Macaca fascicularis: one gene and its partners. The protein of the gene in region 4 binds, or shares a complex with, the protein of the main gene of each other region. Links are inferred from orthologs where the notes say so. Each region holds a gene or a part of one and is shown on either strand. Other genes may lie near its edges. The genes, in order: E3 SUMO-protein ligase RanBP2, NUP214, CETN3, NUP107 and NUP153.

The links.
Region 1: NUP107 (region 4) and E3 SUMO-protein ligase RanBP2 share a complex: the UniProt entries of both Homo sapiens proteins name them as parts of the nuclear pore complex. The link is inferred for Macaca fascicularis from reciprocal best matches to the Homo sapiens genes NUP107 and RANBP2.
Region 2: NUP107 (region 4) and NUP214 share a complex: the UniProt entries of both Homo sapiens proteins name them as parts of the nuclear pore complex. The link is inferred for Macaca fascicularis from reciprocal best matches to the Homo sapiens genes NUP107 and NUP214.
Region 3: NUP107 (region 4) and CETN3 share a complex: the UniProt entries of both Homo sapiens proteins name them as parts of the nuclear pore complex. The link is inferred for Macaca fascicularis from reciprocal best matches to the Homo sapiens genes NUP107 and CETN3.
Region 5: NUP107 (region 4) and NUP153 share a complex: the UniProt entries of both Homo sapiens proteins name them as parts of the nuclear pore complex. The link is inferred for Macaca fascicularis from reciprocal best matches to the Homo sapiens genes NUP107 and NUP153.

What each region holds. Positions count from the first base shown.
Region 1 is NC_088387.1:16,257,922-16,261,802, reverse strand, and holds part of E3 SUMO-protein ligase RanBP2, read right to left. Parts: intron 2,979-3,881; coding exon 1-2,978. UniProt on the Homo sapiens protein: E3 SUMO-protein ligase which facilitates SUMO1 and SUMO2 conjugation by UBE2I. Involved in transport factor (Ran-GTP, karyopherin)-mediated protein import via the F-G repeat-containing domain which acts as a docking site for substrates.
Region 2 is NC_088389.1:12,731,211-12,735,571, forward strand, and holds the start of NUP214 (nuclear pore complex protein Nup214), read right to left. Parts: upstream 2,971-4,361; 5' UTR 2,852-2,970; coding exon 2,807-2,851; intron 1,243-2,806; exon of another isoform or gene 1,141-1,242; intron 710-1,140; coding exon 514-709; intron 1-513. UniProt on the Homo sapiens protein: Part of the nuclear pore complex. Has a critical role in nucleocytoplasmic transport.
Region 3 is NC_088380.1:94,405,399-94,409,863, reverse strand, and holds the start of CETN3 (centrin-3), read left to right. Parts: upstream 1-1,450; 5' UTR 1,451-1,576; coding exon 1,577-1,593; intron 1,594-3,416; coding exon 3,417-3,552; intron 3,553-4,465. UniProt on the Homo sapiens protein: Plays a fundamental role in microtubule-organizing center structure and function. As a component of the TREX-2 complex, involved in the export of mRNAs to the cytoplasm through the nuclear pores.
Region 4 is NC_088385.1:75,503,525-75,506,361, forward strand, and holds the end of NUP107 (nuclear pore complex protein Nup107), read left to right. Parts: intron 1-1,339; coding exon 1,340-1,507; intron 1,508-1,861; coding exon 1,862-1,969; 3' UTR 1,970-2,180; downstream 2,181-2,837. UniProt on the Homo sapiens protein: Plays a role in the nuclear pore complex (NPC) assembly and/or maintenance. Required for the assembly of peripheral proteins into the NPC. May anchor NUP62 to the NPC. Involved in nephrogenesis.
Region 5 is NC_088378.1:155,267,535-155,271,415, forward strand, and holds part of NUP153 (nuclear pore complex protein Nup153), read left to right. Parts: intron 1-2,227; coding exon 2,228-2,584; intron 2,585-3,562; coding exon 3,563-3,835; intron 3,836-3,881. UniProt on the Homo sapiens protein: Component of the nuclear pore complex (NPC), a complex required for the trafficking across the nuclear envelope. Functions as a scaffolding element in the nuclear phase of the NPC essential for normal nucleocytoplasmic transport of proteins and mRNAs.

The DNA of each region.
Region 1 (3,881 bases), on a different chromosome or scaffold from region 4:
GGGATGGAAAATCCTTCTTTGGTTGACTTAAATTCTGTATTAGAAGAACCCTGAAACATAAATGAAGGTGAATTTTCTTGATCCACATGCCCAAATTTGAATCCTTGCTCTGTATTGCCAAACTTAAAAGCTTTTTCTGAGAAATTACTTTTAAATCCTGTTCCCACCTGACTTCCAGAAGAGTCATGCAACTTCATTTCTGAGCCCAATGTGAAAGCTGAAGGAGCTTCTGCAATAGGTTTATGAGTTGGTTTAGAGGCATCACAAGCCACACATGTTAAGGAAGAACTCTCATTTTGTACACAGCAAACACTACAATCCCACTGTCCTTTCTTGATGAACATTCCTTCAAATCCACTCTTTGGAGCCTTGCTTACCTCCGAAGAGGTAGGTGTTGAAATTGCAGTTGTTTGATTTTGTTTACTTGGATACTGACAAGCAATACATTTGGTAGTACTGGCTTCATTTCTTACTAAGCACATACTGCAATCCCACTGTCCTTCCTTCTTAGTGAACATTCCCTCAAATCCACTCTTTGGAGCCTTGCTTGTCTCTGAAGAGGCAGGTGTTGAAATTGCAGTAGTAGTCTGATTTTGTTTACCTGGATTCTGACAAGCAATACATTTGGTAGCACTGGCTTCATTTCTTAGTAAGCACACACTGCAATCCCATTGTCCTTCCTTCTTAGTGAACATTCCCTCAAATCCGCTCTTTGGAGCCTTGCTTGTCTCTGAAGAGGCAGGTGTTGAAATTGCAGAAGCAGTTTGATTTTGTTTACCTGGATTCTGACACGCAATACATTTGGTGGCACTGGCTTCATTTCTTACTAAGCACACACTACAATCCCATTGTCCTTCCTTCTTAGTGAACATTCCCTCAAATCCGCTCTTTGGAGCCTTGCTTGTCTCTGAAGTACCAAACTTAAAAGAGGCAGGAGCTGAAACAGAAGTAGATGGACTTGGTTTATCTGGATTCTGACAAGCAACACATCTTGTAGCATTTGCTTCATTTCGCACTAAGCATGAACTGCAATCCCACTGTCCTTCCTTCTTAGCAAACATGTCCTCAAATCCACTTTTTGGAGTTTTACTTGTCTCTGAAGTACCAAACTTAAAAGAGGCAGGTGTTGGAATAGCAGTAGCAGGTAGACTCTGTTTTCTCGGATTCAGACAAGCAGCACATTTTGTAGAGCTCCCCTCATTTTGTACCAAACATACACTGCACTCCCACTGTCCTTCCTTTGTAGAAAAAACAGATCTGAAGTCACTGTTAACAGGTTTAGGAAGATCTCCCTGGCCAAATGTAAATGAAGCCTGATGAACAAATGAAGATCCACTTTTGTTAGCAGATTTTGTGTTCTGACACGCAATGCACCTAGATACAGTAGGTTCATTTCTTACTAAACAAATACTACAATCCCAGTGACCTTCTTTCTTTGGAGTCATCAATGCAAATCGATCTTGAATATTCTCTGGGCCAGTTTTAGGAGTAAAAACAGTTTCAGATAATGGTGGGCCAACGAGTTCTTTATTGCTTGGGTTTAGATTTTGGCATGATACACATTTCTTAGCAGTTGCAGCATTCTTTAATGAGCAGCTGTTACAATGCCACCAAGACCCTTCTTTCTTTCCAACTTGAAATTCAAAATTCATGTTTCCAGCATCAGATTTGCAAATATCCTTGTTATCATGACTTGTGGGTTCTTTTACAATTCTGATAGCCTGATTTGATGCTGTGGCTACATTTGTTCCTGGGGCTTTTAAAATGCTCTGGGCTTCTTCAAACTTGCACTTAAAAAGTGCTGCTTCCTCAGGAGTTTTGAACCTAATAGCAAGTTGTTCTGGTTTTGGCAACTCATCTGCATAATCAAGGGCATGCCAGACAAAAGATCTGTCTGATCCAGCATTTGGTGTCAATTTCATATCTGGACTGATATAATGATTTGCACAGATTTTCAACACTTGCTCTCGTCTCATTAGAAGGCGAATTTTACCAGATGTTTTATGCCTCAGTATTTTTACATTGCCAATCCCACGTTCCTTCCATTCTTTGGATTCTACATCAAAACGGAACAATTTCGCACGGTTGCAAAAGAATTCTTCTTCATCTTCCTCACCAGTTTTTACTTCAATCTTATCAGGAAGAGGTACTACAGGCTCAAAGTGAGGACCATCATCATCATCATCCCCATGGGCACTTCCTCCATCTGTCTCATGGTTCTTGTTTGCTGTCTCTAAAGTGGGTGTTCCAAATACTGATTTCCCTGGACCACGGAAAGTAAACATATCATCACTTCGCCGAAAACCAGAATTCTTTTGCTGAGCTGACCCCATGTTTTCTGTAAACGAAATTCCAGACACATTTTTGCTTCCAAAATTGAATGTATTTCGAGGCCCAATGGTCTGACCACCAGGAACTGGTTTGGGTCCACTATAGCCATCTCCTTGCAAGGGTTTATCTGAAGTCAGGAGACCTAAAAGGCTTTCACTGTTACTGTAAGCTGCAGGAGGGGGCTGTGTCACAACCTGTGGTGAGGAAAATGTGAAGTCACCATCATTTGATTTGAAATTTGAGTTAAATTTAAAAGGAGGTGGCTGTGTTGTGTGTGCTGGTGTTGGCAAAGATGGCCTTATTCCTTCACCTGGCATGGGCTGAACAAAATTAGTTTTCCCAAATTCTATAGTCTTAGATTCTGCAGATCTTGAAGCATGAGCTGCAATTGGAGGTTTTGTGAAATATCCTGGTTCTGGCAAAGGTGGATTTGTGCTTGTCTGCTGAACATTGTAATTAAAGTAATCATCACCCCTGGGCGATAGAATTCCTGTTGCAGGAGACTCAAAACGCAATGCAGGAGGACCATACATCTCCTGAGAGAACATACAAGCAGATGAGCTTTGCACTGGTGGTGTGTGCATCTGTTGCGGATAGGCATAAATATGCTGTTGGGGTGGAAGCCTATTCATGCCATAGACTGGGCCCTAGAAGACAGAAAGTTAAAACATTTTGTAGATTGTCTACAAAACTACAGATAACTAAATGCAAACCAATTCTCACAAACTTCAAACATGAATATTAAGTGAAGAAGATATCATTAGGGGATGTAGTACACATCATTAACCCGTTTATGCCAGAGGCTGCAAATTTTCTGTGTGAAAAATCAGACCTTGGCAATGACCCTGAGCAGTAAGATATAAATAACTCCCAAAAGCTTAGTGTTCCAATAATGGAACACTAGGCATAAATAGGTTAAGAGAAAACCACATTGCTACAAAGATACTTGCATATATACTTGGCATATAATGAAAATTAATTACAGCATCTTAAAATCTACAACTAAAGTCATAAAATAAATACCATCTTCATTCCTAAACAATTTATCAAATGATGTTAATAATGATGATGATGATGATGATGGTAACATTTATTGAGCATTTATTAATGTGCCAGCTGGGCACTATTCTAAGCACTTTACATTATTATCTCATTTTAATATCCTCAAAAACCCTATGAATTAAGGTATTATTATTATCCTCATTTTACATATGAGGCAACTGATGCATTGAGAGGTTAAGAAACTTGCCTGTGGTCAAAATAAGCAGAAGAGCAAGGGTCTAAATGCACCCCATCACTCTGTCCTCAAAGCTATCACATTCAACTACCACTGTAATTTTGAGTCTTCAATCAATTGTTATATATATAGCTGTATCAGGCCTGAAAGTACTTACCACATAGTGGGTCAGCAAGGGCATTGTAGTTCTATTTCTGTTAAAACAGAATGATGAAGGATCCACCACTACCACTCCCATTTTTAAAATATTCTAAATATTCACACTTATTGTAACACAAAAGGTGACTAAGAAGTATAATTTCTATATCTGGAG
Region 2 (4,361 bases), on a different chromosome or scaffold from region 4:
TAAACACACATACACCCCAATACCTAGTTATACAGATAAATCTTTACTTTCTTAAGAGCTATAATCATGCATTAAGTATCCCAGGAATTCTTCCTCATACTATCTGGGGAAACTAACTGTGGCTGTTGCCCTTGTTGAAAATATTTTTGCAACAATGCTCTAAATAGTACACATTGCCAATAGTTTGGATCGTACTGTTGTGCCAACTGAAAACCCATGCCAATAAAACCCTTCACCCAGAGAGCCAGAGCCCAAGTTCAACTGGGCAAGAATAAAAGTATGGCATAATGGTTAAGTTCTTCCCTCTTGAGCTGAGAAGAACAACTCATGTAAGGAAAAGTACAAAGGACCAAGGAGAAAACCTAGAAAGGCTTCCATTAATCTTCTTGGGAGTCAACCTTCAAACTGACAGCAGTGTTCATTTTAGTATTAGAATGACTTCTTGGGAAGGAAACACAAGAGCATGCCACCACACTCCTCTCTCTACTTTGCAACATAAACCACGGAACTTACCTATTTTATTGGGATCATCTCCGGGTTTATTTTGAATAAGAAGATTTTTAGTAGGAAAAATCTGCAAGCCACTGGCCCCACCAGCAAAGACCAGACCATATTTGTTGGACACAGCAAGCAGACTCGAGCGTTCCTTGGGCAATTCCTCAGGGGAGTCAAAGATTCTCACCTTCTTTAGCGCCCTAAACTGAAAATCCTGTTGTGAAGAATCAAAACAAGATCAATTCAATAAATAAAGAAATTAAAACAAGTTATATTCAGTAGACCCAATTTCAGTACAACAAAAATATATATTACTGAGAACACGGTCTGTCTCAGTTGTCTTTTTTTCTTTTTTGAGACGGAGTCTCGCTTTGTCGCCCAGGCTGGAGTGCAGTGGGCGATCTTGCTTCACTGTAACCTCTGCCTTCCAGGTTCAAGCAATTCTCCTGCCTCAGCCTCCCAAGTAGCTGGGACTACAGACGCCCACCACCATGCCCGGCTAATTTTTGTATTTTTAGTAGAGACAGGGTTTCATTATGTTGGCCAGGCTGGTCTCGAACTCCGGACCTCAAGTCACCCATCCGCCTCAGCCTCCCAAAGTGCAGGCTCACAGGCGTGAGCCACTCCGCTCGGCCTTCAATGTTTTCTGACATGGAACACTTCACGAATTTGTGTGTCATCCATGTAAAGGGGCCATGCTAGTCTTCTCTGCATGATCCCAATTTTATATGTGCTGCCAAAGGGAGTCTGAGATTACCATCTTCTAAGTCTGTGATTCTATTAATAAACCCTTTTTTTCTTCTACCCCAGTATATCTGAGGAATATGACACAATCCCATTAGGTGGCTCACCACAGGTGGTGATTCTCAAAAAATAATCACTATTCTAGGCCGACACGGTGGCTCACACCTGTAATCCCAGCACTTTGGGAGCCAGAGGAGGGCAGATCACTTGAGGTCAGGAGTTTGAGACCAGCCTGGCCAACATGGTGAAACCCCATCTCTACCAAAGAATATAAAAAATTAGTCAGGCATGGTGGCAGGTGCCTGTAATCCCAGTTACTCGGGAGGCTGAGGCAGGCGAATCGCTTGAGCTGGGGAGGTGGAGGTTGCAGCGAGCCGAGATCATGCCACTGCACTCCAGCCTGGGTGACAGAGCGAGACTATGTCTTAAAAAAAAAAAAAAAAAAAAAGGCCGGGCGCGGTGGCTCAAGCCTGTAATCCCAGCACTTTGGGAGGCCGAGACGGGCGGATCACGAGGTCAGGAGATCGAGACCATCCTGGCTAACACGGTGAAACCCCGTCTCTACTAAAAAATACAAAAAATTAGCCGGGCGCGGTGGCGGGCGCCTGTAGTCCCAGCTACTCGGGAGGCTGAGGCAGGAGAATGGCGTGAACCCAGGAGGCGGAGCTTGCAGTGAGCTGAGATCCGGCCACTGCACTCCAGCCCGGGCGACAGAGCGAGACTCTGTCTCAAAAAAAAAAAAAAAAAAAAAAAAAAAAAAATCACTATTCTAAACAGGGTATGTATTACTATGCCCTACATGCATGTTAGTGATTTACTGTTCACACAGATGACTAAAATCTTCCTGCATCTTACTTCCTTTCACTATTTAAAACAGATGTAGGCCGTTTGCTGCACCCTCATTCTGTCAGAACACATATAAGAACTATTAAACACACCATCCTGAAGTTATCCCTGGGGGACTCCCACGTTGCCATCACTGGAAACACTTAGCCCTCCCTTTAGGTTCCTGGTTTGAGGCTGATACACCGATATCAAAACAGTCTTCCTAGTTCAGTCAACTAAAGGTTCTGCAGGATGGATGACCTCCCCTGACTCTACGTTAGGCAAGCCCGTACCGCCTTACAGAAATACTGGCAGAGCGAAGGTCTTAAATGATGCTGGCTTTCAGCCCCGCTGTCAAATGTGACTTTAGGGAAATCACTTTCCGAGCCTCGACTCACTCCTCTACGTTAATAACCACTTCGTAGGGCTGCTGCGATGACTACACAGCGACTGGCACACAGTCAACGCTCCATACACAGCAGTTATTGCCACTATTGTGACCGCCACATGAAACTAGCTAGGGTAACTCAAGAGACGTGCACGAGACCAGGATGGGACTGGGAAACTGCATTCGGTGGGGCTATCACGCCAGCGGCGCGGCAGACGCGCAGCTGAGAGCGGTGAACGCGGTAGTCTGTTCAAGCAGGAGACGGGACAGCCGGCACCGCGCTTCGCCTTTCAGCTGGGCTCCAAGGCAACGCCAGGACTAAAGAAGGGAGGGAGGCCCCAGTTAGTCTCTGACCTTCATCTCCCGCTCGGGAATCATGGCATCCATCTCGTCTCCCATCGCGCCGCCCTCGGTGTGTCGAAGCAGCCAACGCTGCCTCCCACGGCCTTGCCCACAGAACCTAGGCCGCTGGACTGCAAACTTCCTTCCCTCAGCGCCAGGGGCGCGCAGTTGATCTCGCATTTCCGGCGCGCGTTGGTGACGTCAAGCTTGGCCGGGGAGGCAGCGGAACCTAAAGAAGCCGCGCGTTCTCCCGGCCGCCGCTCCCCATTGGCCAACTCGTGCTGAATAGGGGCGTGGCCGTGGGGCCCCGGCGCCTGCGCCCTGGATCGTCCTGGTGCCGCTCCCGCCTTCGCAGACAGCGCGGGTTCGCTTAGTGTCAATCTGTCTTCTTGGGTGGCCCACGTCTAAGCGACCTATGCTCCTTGTTCCTCTGACACCTTACAGTTCCTCTTAGATGTAGGTTGGCTATTAGTAGCTTCCGATTCAGATAAGTTAGGAACTTGACAGATGTTTTCGGTGGGCTACTTTAGAGAGAGGCTTTGGGCTATGCAAGGGGAGGAAGGGAGGTTCAGAAAAACGGGGTCGGGGGATCGCCAGTGTGGAAGGTGGAAGGCTGGAAGGGGAGATTAAAGGGCACGGAAGACCAGCTTTGTTTGCTCTTATCAAGGTGATCATTTCCAGAGCAAGAGCCATATGCATCTCTAGTTGCACGAGTTTGTGCCACGTCCTTTGCAAAAACCTTCAGATGTGGGATCTCATGTAATCTTGAAGACTTCTAGTCATCCTAGGGGTTATTATTTAATTGATGAGGTAGGCCAGGCGCCGGTGGCTCACGCCTATAATCCCAGCACTTGGGAGGCCGAGACAGGAGGATTGCTTGAGCCCAGGAGTTTGAGACCAGCCTGGGCAACATGGCGAGACCCCGTCTCTACAAAAAACAACAAAACAAAACCACAAAAATTAACCAGCAGTGATGGCATGCGCATGTAGTCTCAGCACACTCAGGAGGCTGAGATGGGAGAATTGCTTGAGCCCAGGAGGTCGAGGCTGCAGTAAGCTGTGATTGTACCACTGCACTCCAGCCTGGGTAACAGAGCCACACCCTGCCTCAAAAAATAAAAATGGGCTGGGCGCGGTGGCTCACACCTGTACGCAGCACTTTGGGAGGTTGAGGTAGGTGGAACACCTGTCAGGAGCTGGAGACCAGCCTGGCAAACATGGTGAAACCCCACCTCTGCTAAAAATACAATTAGCCGGGCGTGGTGGTGGACGCCTGTGGTCCCAGCTACACAGGAGGCTGAGGTAGGAGAATGGCATGAACCCGAGAGGTGGAGGTTGCAGTGAGCTAAGATTGCGCCACTGCACTCCAGCCTGGGTGACAGAGTGAGACCGTCTCAGGAAAAAAAAAAAAAAAAAAAAAAAAGATATATATGTGTATATATACACATCCACATACATAATAATAATTGTTGAGGTAAGGGAAGCACAGGGGAAGTTGAGAAATTTCTCCGGTGGCCCTCAGTCAGAAAGTGGTAGTGACAGGATAAGAACTGAGATTGTCTGGATA
Region 3 (4,465 bases), on a different chromosome or scaffold from region 4:
TTACTAATTTCCTCTTCCTAATTTCAATTATACAATTTTGTTCTTCATTTCTAACATCTTCAAATAAATGCCTGGTCTATTTTTATTATTTCTTATTTAAAATAATGTTCTCCTATAGTTTGGTCTGTGTCTTAAAATGTTAACATATAGTTTTTTTCAATATCACTATGTTCTAGTAATTACAATTTCTCTTTCCTTTTAGACTCAAAGGTGATTTATAAAGGTACTTTAAAATTTAAAATACGAACAAAATAAAAGTTCCGCTTTTGTTTTTTAGGGGTGCTATCCCTTAGCTAATTTTTAGCTTGTTCTATCATACTATCTTTACTTGTGCAAATTTAGCCCATCCTTGTAGGTCTAACGTTTATGCCACCTCTTTAGGAAGCCTATCTTGTGCTCTCTCCCTTCTCTAAAATTTTATATACATCCCTTAAACATATGTTTACATATTCTCCGCCTTCAACTCCCATTCTCAGGCTATTTTATTCCCGTTTATGAGATTTGCTGTTTAGCTCAGTATTTTGTGGGTTTTCAAAAGATTCCACTCAATTTACCGAGCACCTATGCACCAGACATTTTATTAGGTACAAGGAAAAGCGTTAAATAGATATAATCACGGCCTTCAAGAAATTGAACCTGGTAAGGGAGACGAATAAGTAGACATTCAAGTGAGCTTTAGGAGACTTGGTTTGGTAGTGAATACAGTCTCACGTGTATTAACAATTTACAGCACCGTAAAATAAGAGACAGAAGCCAACAAATCCGTTTCAAACAGTTCAAAGGAGGAAAAGGAGAGGGAAGGGCGGTTTAGATACAGCATCACCATAAATAGCCTGATAATCTAACCCTGTGATAATCCAAGTATAGTCACAGCACCTGCCTCAGAATCACTTGGAAGGCTTGTGAGGAATACAAACGCAGATTCATACCTACTGAAATTAGAATGGAGAAAGGGGCATTTAAGTCTGCATTTTAAACACATTCCCCAGGTACTGAAGCCATCCAAAGTTTTAGAACAGAGCACAGCCACGCTTCGCAGACCTTGTTCCTCAACTACTGCCTCCTTCTAGCCGGAGGGTGGCCTGCAGCGTGTCCCTTCCCTTCCCACCGTCCAAGTTATCCATCTAGTTTTCGAACGTCGGCCCACAGACCGCAGGACAATACGCGAGAGACTAGGAGCACCCACCACGCAAACCACCACACAGGGATCGGAGGCCGGACCCGCAAAGGATTCGGGGAAAAAGGCATCAGGCCAATCCGAAGGGCGAGAGCGGCCCTAGGAATGGAGGGGCGGGGTGGGTGGCGGGGGGGGGGGGGGGCGGGGAGAGAGAGGTTTTTTTTTTTTCTTGATTGACGTAAAGCGTACCCAATGAAAATAAAATTGGTAAAGCTTCCGCCATAATGGGCAGAACCATAGCGACATTTCAACCAATCCAGCTCAAAAGTGTCTATGTTGTGGGAGGTCCCTGAGGCCGCTGAGGTCGTTCGTGTCTGTTGAACGGTTGTGGGAGTCTTGCTGCTTTGGGTAGGGGGTTAAAATCGTTTCTTGAGAGGAACGACTCTATCCGAAGAGATAATGAGTTTAGCTCTGAGGTCGGTAATAAGGAGGCGGCAGTGCTCTCCACACCCCGGAGCGGGACCTAGGGAGGGTGTGTGTGGAAGGGAGGCCGTTTGGGGCCGTGGCGAGGCAGGGGATGCTGTTTGGGATGCGGGAAAGGAGCCTAGGGCAGCCTGTCTGGATCACTCACCCTCTGGGCTCTGGTGCCCTGCAGGGAACGAGACTTCCAGTGCATTTCTACTAAGGAGGTTATTTCTGTCAGCGCGTAGGGCTTTGGACTACCAAAAAAATGGGCTTAGTTGCGAGCGAGGGGGAGGGAATGAAATATCGCGAGGCTTCTACTCTGTTGCTCTGAGAGATCAGGCCGCGGAACATCCCTTCATTCAATTCGTATGCCTGGCCAGGGCCCCACCTCCGCTGCTCTGCTGCTGATGCAATCATCCACCTATAAATTTTGGAAATAACAAAAAACTCTTTGCTATTCTCCCAAGGTCCTGCTTTACGGTGTAATTAGAAACCCATTTTAGTGACTAATTGGCAAACTGTCTCTTGGATTTCCTGTTTCTTTCATTTCTTTACCTTTCAGTTCTAACCTCTAACCCTCTGTCTGTTACCCGCTCCCCCTACGTAGACGTTGTACCGTAAAACTATACATATACTTAGGACACTCTAAAAATGTTCCATGTTCTGCTAAGGGATAATCATGGTACCCTTGGATGGGGTCAGGGGTGGGTCGGTTCTGGACTTGGCCTCTAAAAGTCTCAGGAAGGAAAAGACTGACCCCAGGAATACCCAAGTTTGTGTCAAGTCAGGTCTCATGAAAGGAAGATCTTCCTCAGCTTTGTCATACTGCATCTACTGGTCACTTCCTAGCCTTTTTTTTTTTTTTTTTGTAGCGTTCAGAGACCAAAACGACTTTCAAATGCAGCTAGATACGTGTTTTAAATACAGTCAACTGGTTTTGACATGTTAATGTGTTACCAGATTGTGTGTTTCAAAACTTGTTCTTATACCAGTGTTGCGGCTCCATTGGAAAACTTGGAGCACATTTAGATGGGCAGCTCTTACGGAAAACATTTCTGGCTTTAAAGTAATTTTTGCTTTTTTCTTTAAGCGTTTCCAGAGTTTATGAGAAGTTTAACCTCCAGTTTACATCTTAAGTGAGATAAGACTTATGAAGCACAAATATTGTATACTTTTTTGACATCTAATATTTGTCATATGTTTAGACTCATTAATATTTTGGGTGATTTGTTAATATCAGTGGAGGAAATGACACATAAATTGCCAAACTGTTAGAAACGTGTAATCTAAAAACATTTTGAACCAACAGTCCCAAAATATAAGTTAATCCAGTTGTATTTTTTGTAGTAATTTTATGAACTTAATTATCAGAACTATCAAAAGTAAACCGATATATGGTGATTGTCAGTTACGAATTTTGGTTTCATTTGGAGATTTTTTGGTTTCTTTAACATTCTTGTAGAATAATGTGAGTGTTTTTGTTTTTTTTTTGGTTGGAGTTGGTTGGAGTTTCAGACATAAACGTAATGTTGCTTATTCACAGTTCTTGAATAAATAAAAAGTTAGGGAAAGTGGGAATAAATAAAAAGCTGGGAAAAGGAAAAGTTTGGTCCTCATTTCTTTTAATAATCTGTAACACTCTTTAGTTTTGGGAAGTTCATATTTATAGCAATTTAGACTATGGAATAAACAGGGCATTGACTCATAAAGGGAAAGTTTCCCTGTCTTTCTCCAAAGTACTTTCTTTTTTGAAATTTAGAAAATAATTATTGGCTAATTTCTGTTAGTAAAGAGAATTAAAGTGGACTAAGGGCTTTTTCTTTCCATTTCATAGAAGTGAGCTTGTAGTAGACAAAACAAAGAGGAAAAAAAGAAGAGAACTGTCTGAGGAACAGAAACAAGAAATTAAAGATGCTTTTGAACTATTTGATACAGACAAAGATGAAGCAATAGATTATCATGAATTAAAGGTAATGGTATACTTTAAAATACTTGTTTCTGTGTTAAAATGATTTGCATTTTGACAGTTGCTTTACATTACATTTCTAAGTAATTATTTTAACTAAATTGGTTTTGGAACTATGAAGGCATTTTAAGCATTCATAGTTAGATTCTATAATAATACTGAATAGAACTCCTAACACAGTTTTTAGAAAATCTTTTTCACGTGATAAAACGAATAGCATTTTAAATGTAACAATACATTCCTAGGGAAGGTGCTTATTTTTCACTGACATAATTAAAGGATTTCAAACTGGAATTTAAACTATTACCATATTCTTTTCACTGTTTTTTTTGTTTTTGTTTTTGTTTCTTGGTGACTCATACTGTTTTCAGATTGTGGGATTGTTGTCTTTTAATCTTATAATTTGTATTTGTTAGTAACATAGTCTCAATCCACTTTCTGTGGTACAGACAACTTCAGTGCTGTTTGATGTTGACACATGCTAGTAGGTAAAAATGTCAACTTTAAGACCTAGAATGTCAAGGTGTAGAGAGGGATTTGTAAATTATTATTTGTCAGGGTATAAGGAGAGATTTGGGTTTAGGGTTGAGTGGGACTTACTTTCAGCACAGTGGGAAAGATAGTATTTTGAGATTTTTAATAGCCTTAATGGATAGGTGAATGTAAGTGTTTATTTGATAGTTTTAATTTTTGTAATTTCTTAAGGGATTTTTAAGCATTAGAATTCCAAGTAGGGATACGAACTATGCAGTGACAGTATAGAATGTATAAAAACAATTAATAGGCCTGTAAGTCTAGCTTTCTCAATCTTGCAGTCCTCTTTAGCTCTCTTTTCCCACTGTTTTTTGTTTTTGTTTTTTGGTTTTGGTTACCCAGATTTGATCAATTCTTCCTTTATAGTGTCTCTTCCATTAGTA
Region 4 (2,837 bases):
TTAGCCCAAATTAGTACAATTACTCCTTGGTATTAATTACCAGATTATATTTTGTTGTTGATTAACCCCTCCACTTACATCTTCATTTGAAAAATGTTTTAGCAATTTAATATAGCCTCTCACATGAAGATATTTTTAGATATTCCATTAGGCTTTTCAAAGGAGCAGTTATTATTTTAGCTTATCCTGTTTTTATGTTTTTTGTTTTTTCTGCACTATTAGTGCTATTGATTTCCTTTCTGTTTTTAAGATTATTTCAGAAATTGTAGTGTGTCATTCCTGTAATCCCAGCACTTTGGGAGGCTCAGGCAGGAGAATCACTTGAGCCCAAGAGTTTGATACCAGCTTGGGCAACATAGGGAGACCCCATCTCTGCAAATAATAAAATTATTATTTTTTTAAAATAAAAAAATTAGCCAGGCATGGTGGCACATGCCTGTGGTTCTTAGCTACTTGGGAGGCTGAAGTAGGAGGATCACTTGAGCGCGGAGATCAAGGCTTCAGAGAGCCATGATTGTACCACTGCATTCCAGACTGGGCAACAGAGAGAGACACTGTCTCAAAAAAGAAGAAAAAGGTAAAAAAAGAAAAGAAAAAAAAAAAAAAAAAATTATGTGTTTGGTTACTTTTTAATTATTTTAATTTTCAAATTTGTTGTAAGTAAATGTAGTGGGCATAAGAGGTTTACTCTTTTTTCTGTACTTTTACTGTTCACATCGATTTTAAGAAAGATCCATGTATGTATAAAGGAATGACAATTGTTTTTCCTACTTGTTTTCCTCATATATCTGTTCTGACTCATTAATTGTATTATTCAAGTCTATAGGTTCTGTTTTTCTGTTTTTAAAAACTATATGAAGAAATCATAAATTCCATTTTCCTTGTTTATAAGAAAAGTAGTCTGCAGTGAAGTTGACCCTCCCTGTGTGCCCCTCCCCATATCCTCTTTTTTCCAGCAACAGTCATTGCTGTCAGTCTGGTGTGTCCTCTCAGGCCTCCTTAGAGCTATCTTGATTTATCTGTGTGAACATCCAAGGGAGTGGTGATTGTTTTCTGTTCTGATTTTTGCTCTAATGATATTCAGTTTCTAACTCATTCTTTTTATGCATGTTTTTATTCAGGACACAGTAAGTTTATTAGAAATACAAATGCAGAAGCATTTTATTTTCACTGTCATACCTCTGACCTCTCTGTAGTCTACTTTATTCATCTTCATACTTTTTTGCTGTTAAATCTTATCTACCAATTACATTCTGGATTTGATTCAGTACTTAGCTTTTCTTTTTGTAAGGATCTTTAGCTTAAATTGTTAAAATGATTTATTGATGTCTGTTTGTAGGATGCTGAAGAAGACCATGAAAGAACACATCAAATGGTTTTACTGAGAAAGCTTTGTCTGCCAATGTTGTGTTTTCTGCTTCATACAATATTGCACAGTACTGGTCAGTATCAGGAATGCCTACAGTTAGCAGATATGGTATCCTCTGAGCGCCACAAACTGTACCTGGTAAGTTCTAGAGCATTGTAGTTTTAAATTTTAATGATTTGATATGCGCTGTAGTAATATTTTGTGAAGATGTGTTTACATTTGTAATTGTTCTTGGATTTTCTTAAAGTAATAGTCCTGTTTTAATGTTTGTGCTTTTTTCCCAAAATGTGTATATATTTGTAAGCAGTTAGAAATATATAGACTGACTCTGAGAATTCGCCTTGAAATTCCTGAACCACTCTAATTTACTAGCCTTTGGCTACATAAATCTTAAAGAGGAATTTCTTCTTATATGAAGCTAATCAGATTGATTAGCTAACTAAGTTCATACTTGTCTTTGTTCTCATTCTTATTTCTCTTTTTAAAAATCAGGTATTTTCTAAGGAAGAGCTAAGGAAGTTGCTGCAGAAGCTAAGAGAGTCCTCTCTAATGCTCCTAGACCAGGGACTTGACCCATTAGGGTATGAAATTCAGTTATAGTTTAATCTTTGTAATCTCACTAATTTTCATGATAAATGAAGTTTTTAATAAAATATACTTGTTATTAATTTTTTCTTTTGCATTGCCATGTAAAATTTAGACATTTGAATTTTGTACATTTCAGAATATTATCGTGACACTTTGAACATGTAATGTATATATATCAGCGTTTCTCTGTATGCTTATTAATAAAACTATATAAAAACTAAAATTTTTGTTTTTACAAATTCGAGGATTGTCTCTTTATGAGAAAATTAAATTTTCTATTCTAGTTTTTTCTGTAATCATAAGCATTCTGAAATTTTAAAATCATAAAGATGGGCCAGGCGTGGTGGCTCAAGCCTGTAATCCCAGCACTTTGGGAGGCCGAGACGGGCCGATCATGAGGTCAGGAGATCAAGACCATCCTGGCTAACACGGTGAAACCCCGTCTCTACTAAAAAATACAAAAAACTAGCCAGGCGAGGTGGTGGGCGCCTGTAGTCCCAGCTACTCGGGAGGCTGAGGAAGGAGAATGGGGTAAACCCAGGAGGCGGAGCTTACAGTGAGCTGAGATCTGGCCACTGCACTCCAGCCTGGGCGACAGAGCCAGACTCCGTCTCAAAAAAATAAAAAATAAAATAAAATCATAAAGATGATGGAAAGTAGATTTATTTTTAAGCCAGGTAAGTAATTTTTTATAAAATGTAGTATTTTTTGAATATTAAAAGTAAGACTATAACAAGAATGTTTTCTAACATAACATGCTATTATTATTTTAGTTATTTTGAAGACATTTCTAGTTTAGCTTTCATTTAGCAAACTTCCTATCAAAACAAGAGCATATAAAGACTTAGCATAGTACCTGGCACATAGTAAGCACTGAATA
Region 5 (3,881 bases), on a different chromosome or scaffold from region 4:
ATAGTGCATATTTATGTGTGTCTTTCTCTTCTGTTTGGGCTTTTATAATCAGAATTGGTATCTACTACCTGGAAAATAAGGATTCTTAGCTTATGAAATATTTTCTACCATAATCTATGGTATTGTTTATAAATAGTTACAGATAACCAGTCCTCATCAGACATTAAGAAACATAGACAACAAATATAATTAATCCTGAGAAACCAAGAGATTTTGAAAGCTGAAGTCCTGGGGGAAAAAAAATGACACAGCACCTTAAAGGTTAAAAGCATCATTGTTGGTGGATCATATTAAAGTCATTCTGTGGGCGGAATAGCAGGAAGAACATAGCTGATCATCAGATTAGTGAACTAGAATTTCCCTGAACTTAGTGCACAAGTACAAAGAGTGATCCAAGTTAGATCCACAAGTTCCTCTGGAACAGGAGTGACCTAGAAGATAAGAAGTTTTGGGGGAATATCAAAGAAGTGACAGAAGAAAATTTTCTAGATCTAAAGAAAGACATTGGTCTTAAAAATGGAAATTACCTATTGGCAAAGATCACTGAAATTTAGGACACCAAAGCTAAAACCCCAAATGCTTTCAGAGAGAAAAGCTATTTGCCACAAATAGGAAGATACCAGATTAGCATCATCTTCTAATTTGCAACATCACATGCTAAAAACAGAACAGTACCCTCAAAATGAAAATGTTCTTGAACCTAGAATTCTGTTACTAGCCAAATGTGTTTAAGTATAAAGACAGTCCGGGTGCCGTAGCTCACACCTGTAATCCCAACTAGTCAGGAGGCTGAAGCACAAGAATTTCTTGAACCTGGGAGGCAGAGGTTGCAGTGAGCTGAGATTGGCCACTGCACTCCAGCTTGGGCAACAGAACGAGCCTCTGTCTCAAGAAAACCCAACAACAACAACAAACACAGAGGCAAAATACAGGTGTTTTTAGATGTGCAAAAAGTGCAAAAGTTGAATATCCATGAATACTTTTGGATAATAAATTGGAAACACTCAAAATTAACTTTTATATGGAATTCAACAAATAACTATGAGCAGTTTTTTGTCTGTCATATATTTACTTAGAAATATAAAGATAAAATAAAAGCTAAAATTACATATTATTTGGAAAGCAACAGAAATATGATAGGGTCTAATCAGATTTGATGGTGAAACACCAGGCTGTGGTAGACACTCTTAACCATTCTTCCATTAGCCAGCTTGAAAGTGAGCCAACGTGTTCCATTTTCTGTAAGTCAGACTAATGCCGATAGCATACTGTGACCAGCCCTGCATAGTGTGAAGTATTGGAACTGAGAGATTATTGGAATAGTTTAGAAAAAAGTCTTCAATAAGGTGGCTGGATTCAGAATCATGATATAAAAATCAAAAGTTTTTCTTCAAATCGGCATATCTCATTTGTTTTTTTCTAACATTTCTAACTTGTATTTTATAAAAGCAGCAGAACTTTTAACATGCCAAATAATAACACAAAAGGCGTACTTGTTGCTGGGCAAAGATATTCCCTTCCTCCTCCCATAATTTTAGTTCTTAGGGGAATTTTTGTAGAGCTTGACAAGCTAAACTTACTCTAAAATTCACATGGAAAGGAAACTATACAAGAAATTTTGGGAAAAAAGGCAGGCACACAGGCAGCTTTGTTCTGCTATCATCAGTCCATGGTGTAAAGTTGGAATAATTAAAACAGTCTAGTGATAACGGTAGAGGAAACAAGTATATGCATTTTAGGAAATGTAGTGTGTCATAAAGACAACATTGCAAATTAGTGCACAAAGCCTGTACTAGTTGATGCTGTGGAGAAATTTGGCTATCCATTTAGATAAATTGAAGTTATGATTTTGCCACATACTGTAACATAAATTGCAAAATTAAATATATAAAAGTACAGCTATCTTCCGCTATCTAAACTTGCTATTCAACTACAGTATCCAGTTAGATTTGGATTCGAGGGGTATTTTTATTAACCTGAATGCCAAAGGCCTTCCTGTGAAAGGCGCAAAATCCATAAGCTATAAAAGAAGATGAATGTATTTGATTTTGTCAAAATCTAATATAAACAGATGTCCATTTGATGAATTAATCTATATAAAAAACTTAACCTACTTTTCTAGCGAATTTTAGGGTAGGAAAGTTCTGGTGATTGTAGGGTAAGGAAAAAGTACTTTCTGAGACTATTCTTAAGGATTTATGTTTGTTTCTTAATTTCTGTCTTACAGATCAAGGTGCAGCAAAGCCAGTTTTTAGTTTCTTGAACAACAATTCCTCTAGTTCAAGTACACCAGCCACTTCTGCTGGTGGTGGCATATTTGGTAGTTCCACCTCTTCCTCCAATCCACCCGTGGCTACCTTTGTGTTTGGACAGTCCAGCAATCCTGTGAGCAGCTCTGCCTTTGGTAACACTGCTGAATCCAGCACCTCTCAGTCTTTGCTATTTTCTCAAGATAGCAAACTAGCAACCACATCCAGCACAGGTACAGCTGTCACCCCATTTGTCTTTGGTCCAGGAGCCAGCAGTAATAATACTGCCACCTCTGGTTTCGGCTTTGGAGCCACGACCACGTCTAGCTCTGCAGGTACATTTACAAAAGAAAAAAATGCATTGCAATTGGATGGGCTTTACTTATTAGCAAATAACATATAGCAGGTTATCACAAAATGGTGTGAATGCCTTTTGGTCATCTATACCAGGGTTGTTGTAATTAATCACTGTATGTACAACTTTAACATATTTACCTCTTGGGAGCCATTTTTCTCATTGTGGTAAGAGTGTAATACTTAATTTTTCCAAGCTTTGTTTTTTGTTTTTGTTTTTTTTCTTTTGAGATGGAGGCTTGCTCTGTCACCCAGGCTGGAATGCAGTGGTGCGATCTCGGCTCACTGCAACCCTCCCTCTCCCTAGTTCAAGCAATTCTCCTGCCTCAGCCTCCCAAGTAACTGGGATTACAGGTGCCTGCCACCACACCTGGCTAATTTTTCTATTTTTAGCGGAGATGGGGTTTTACCATGTTGGCCAGGCTCAAACTTCTGACCTCGTGATCCGCCCACCTCGGCCTCCTAAAGTGCTGGGATTACAGGCGTGAGCCACTGTGCCCAGCCCCAAACTTTGTTTTTAAAATGTTAGGTTGTCAGTCACCAGACACTGGAAGTTGTTTTATTAAACATCAGTCTTTATTATGCAGTATGTGTATATATATGTATATATATATATATATATATATATATGCACATCATGAGGTGATTTCTGCACACATTAGATTTCTGGTGGGAGACTTTTCTGAGATATGTTCCTTTACCAAAAATTGTTGGCTGTGAAGGTATGGAGTAGTTGTTAATTGCAGTTTTTGTTTATATGAATTTAGTATGTTTCACTAAATAATGGTAGAGAGAGTTGTATTCTCAATCATTATTTAAAACTTGTCTTGATGGAATTTGGTTAACAAGGTAAGAGTCTGAAAAGAAGCTTGACATTTGCTTGTGGGTTTTCAGAAATTTCTTGAGGATAATCTGACATTAGCCACCATGGCGACTTAAGTGTGTCTTTGGGCCTCCAGGATCCTCCTTCGTATTTGGAACTGGACCTTCAGCACCATCTGCCAGTCCAGCATTTGGTGCTAACCAGACCCCAACATTTGGACAAAGTCAAGGTGCCAGCCAGCCCAATCCCCCAGGCTTTGGATCTATATCATCTTCCACAGCATTATTTTCCAGTGGTTCTCAGCCTGCACCACCTACTTTTGGGACAGTGTCAAGCAGTAGTCAGCCCCCTGTGTTTGGACAGCAACCTAGTCAGTCTGCATTTGGCTCTGGAACAACTCCTAATTCCAGTAAGTGTGCTGTGATGCTGTTGTATCTGTATGAGTTTTGTATGTC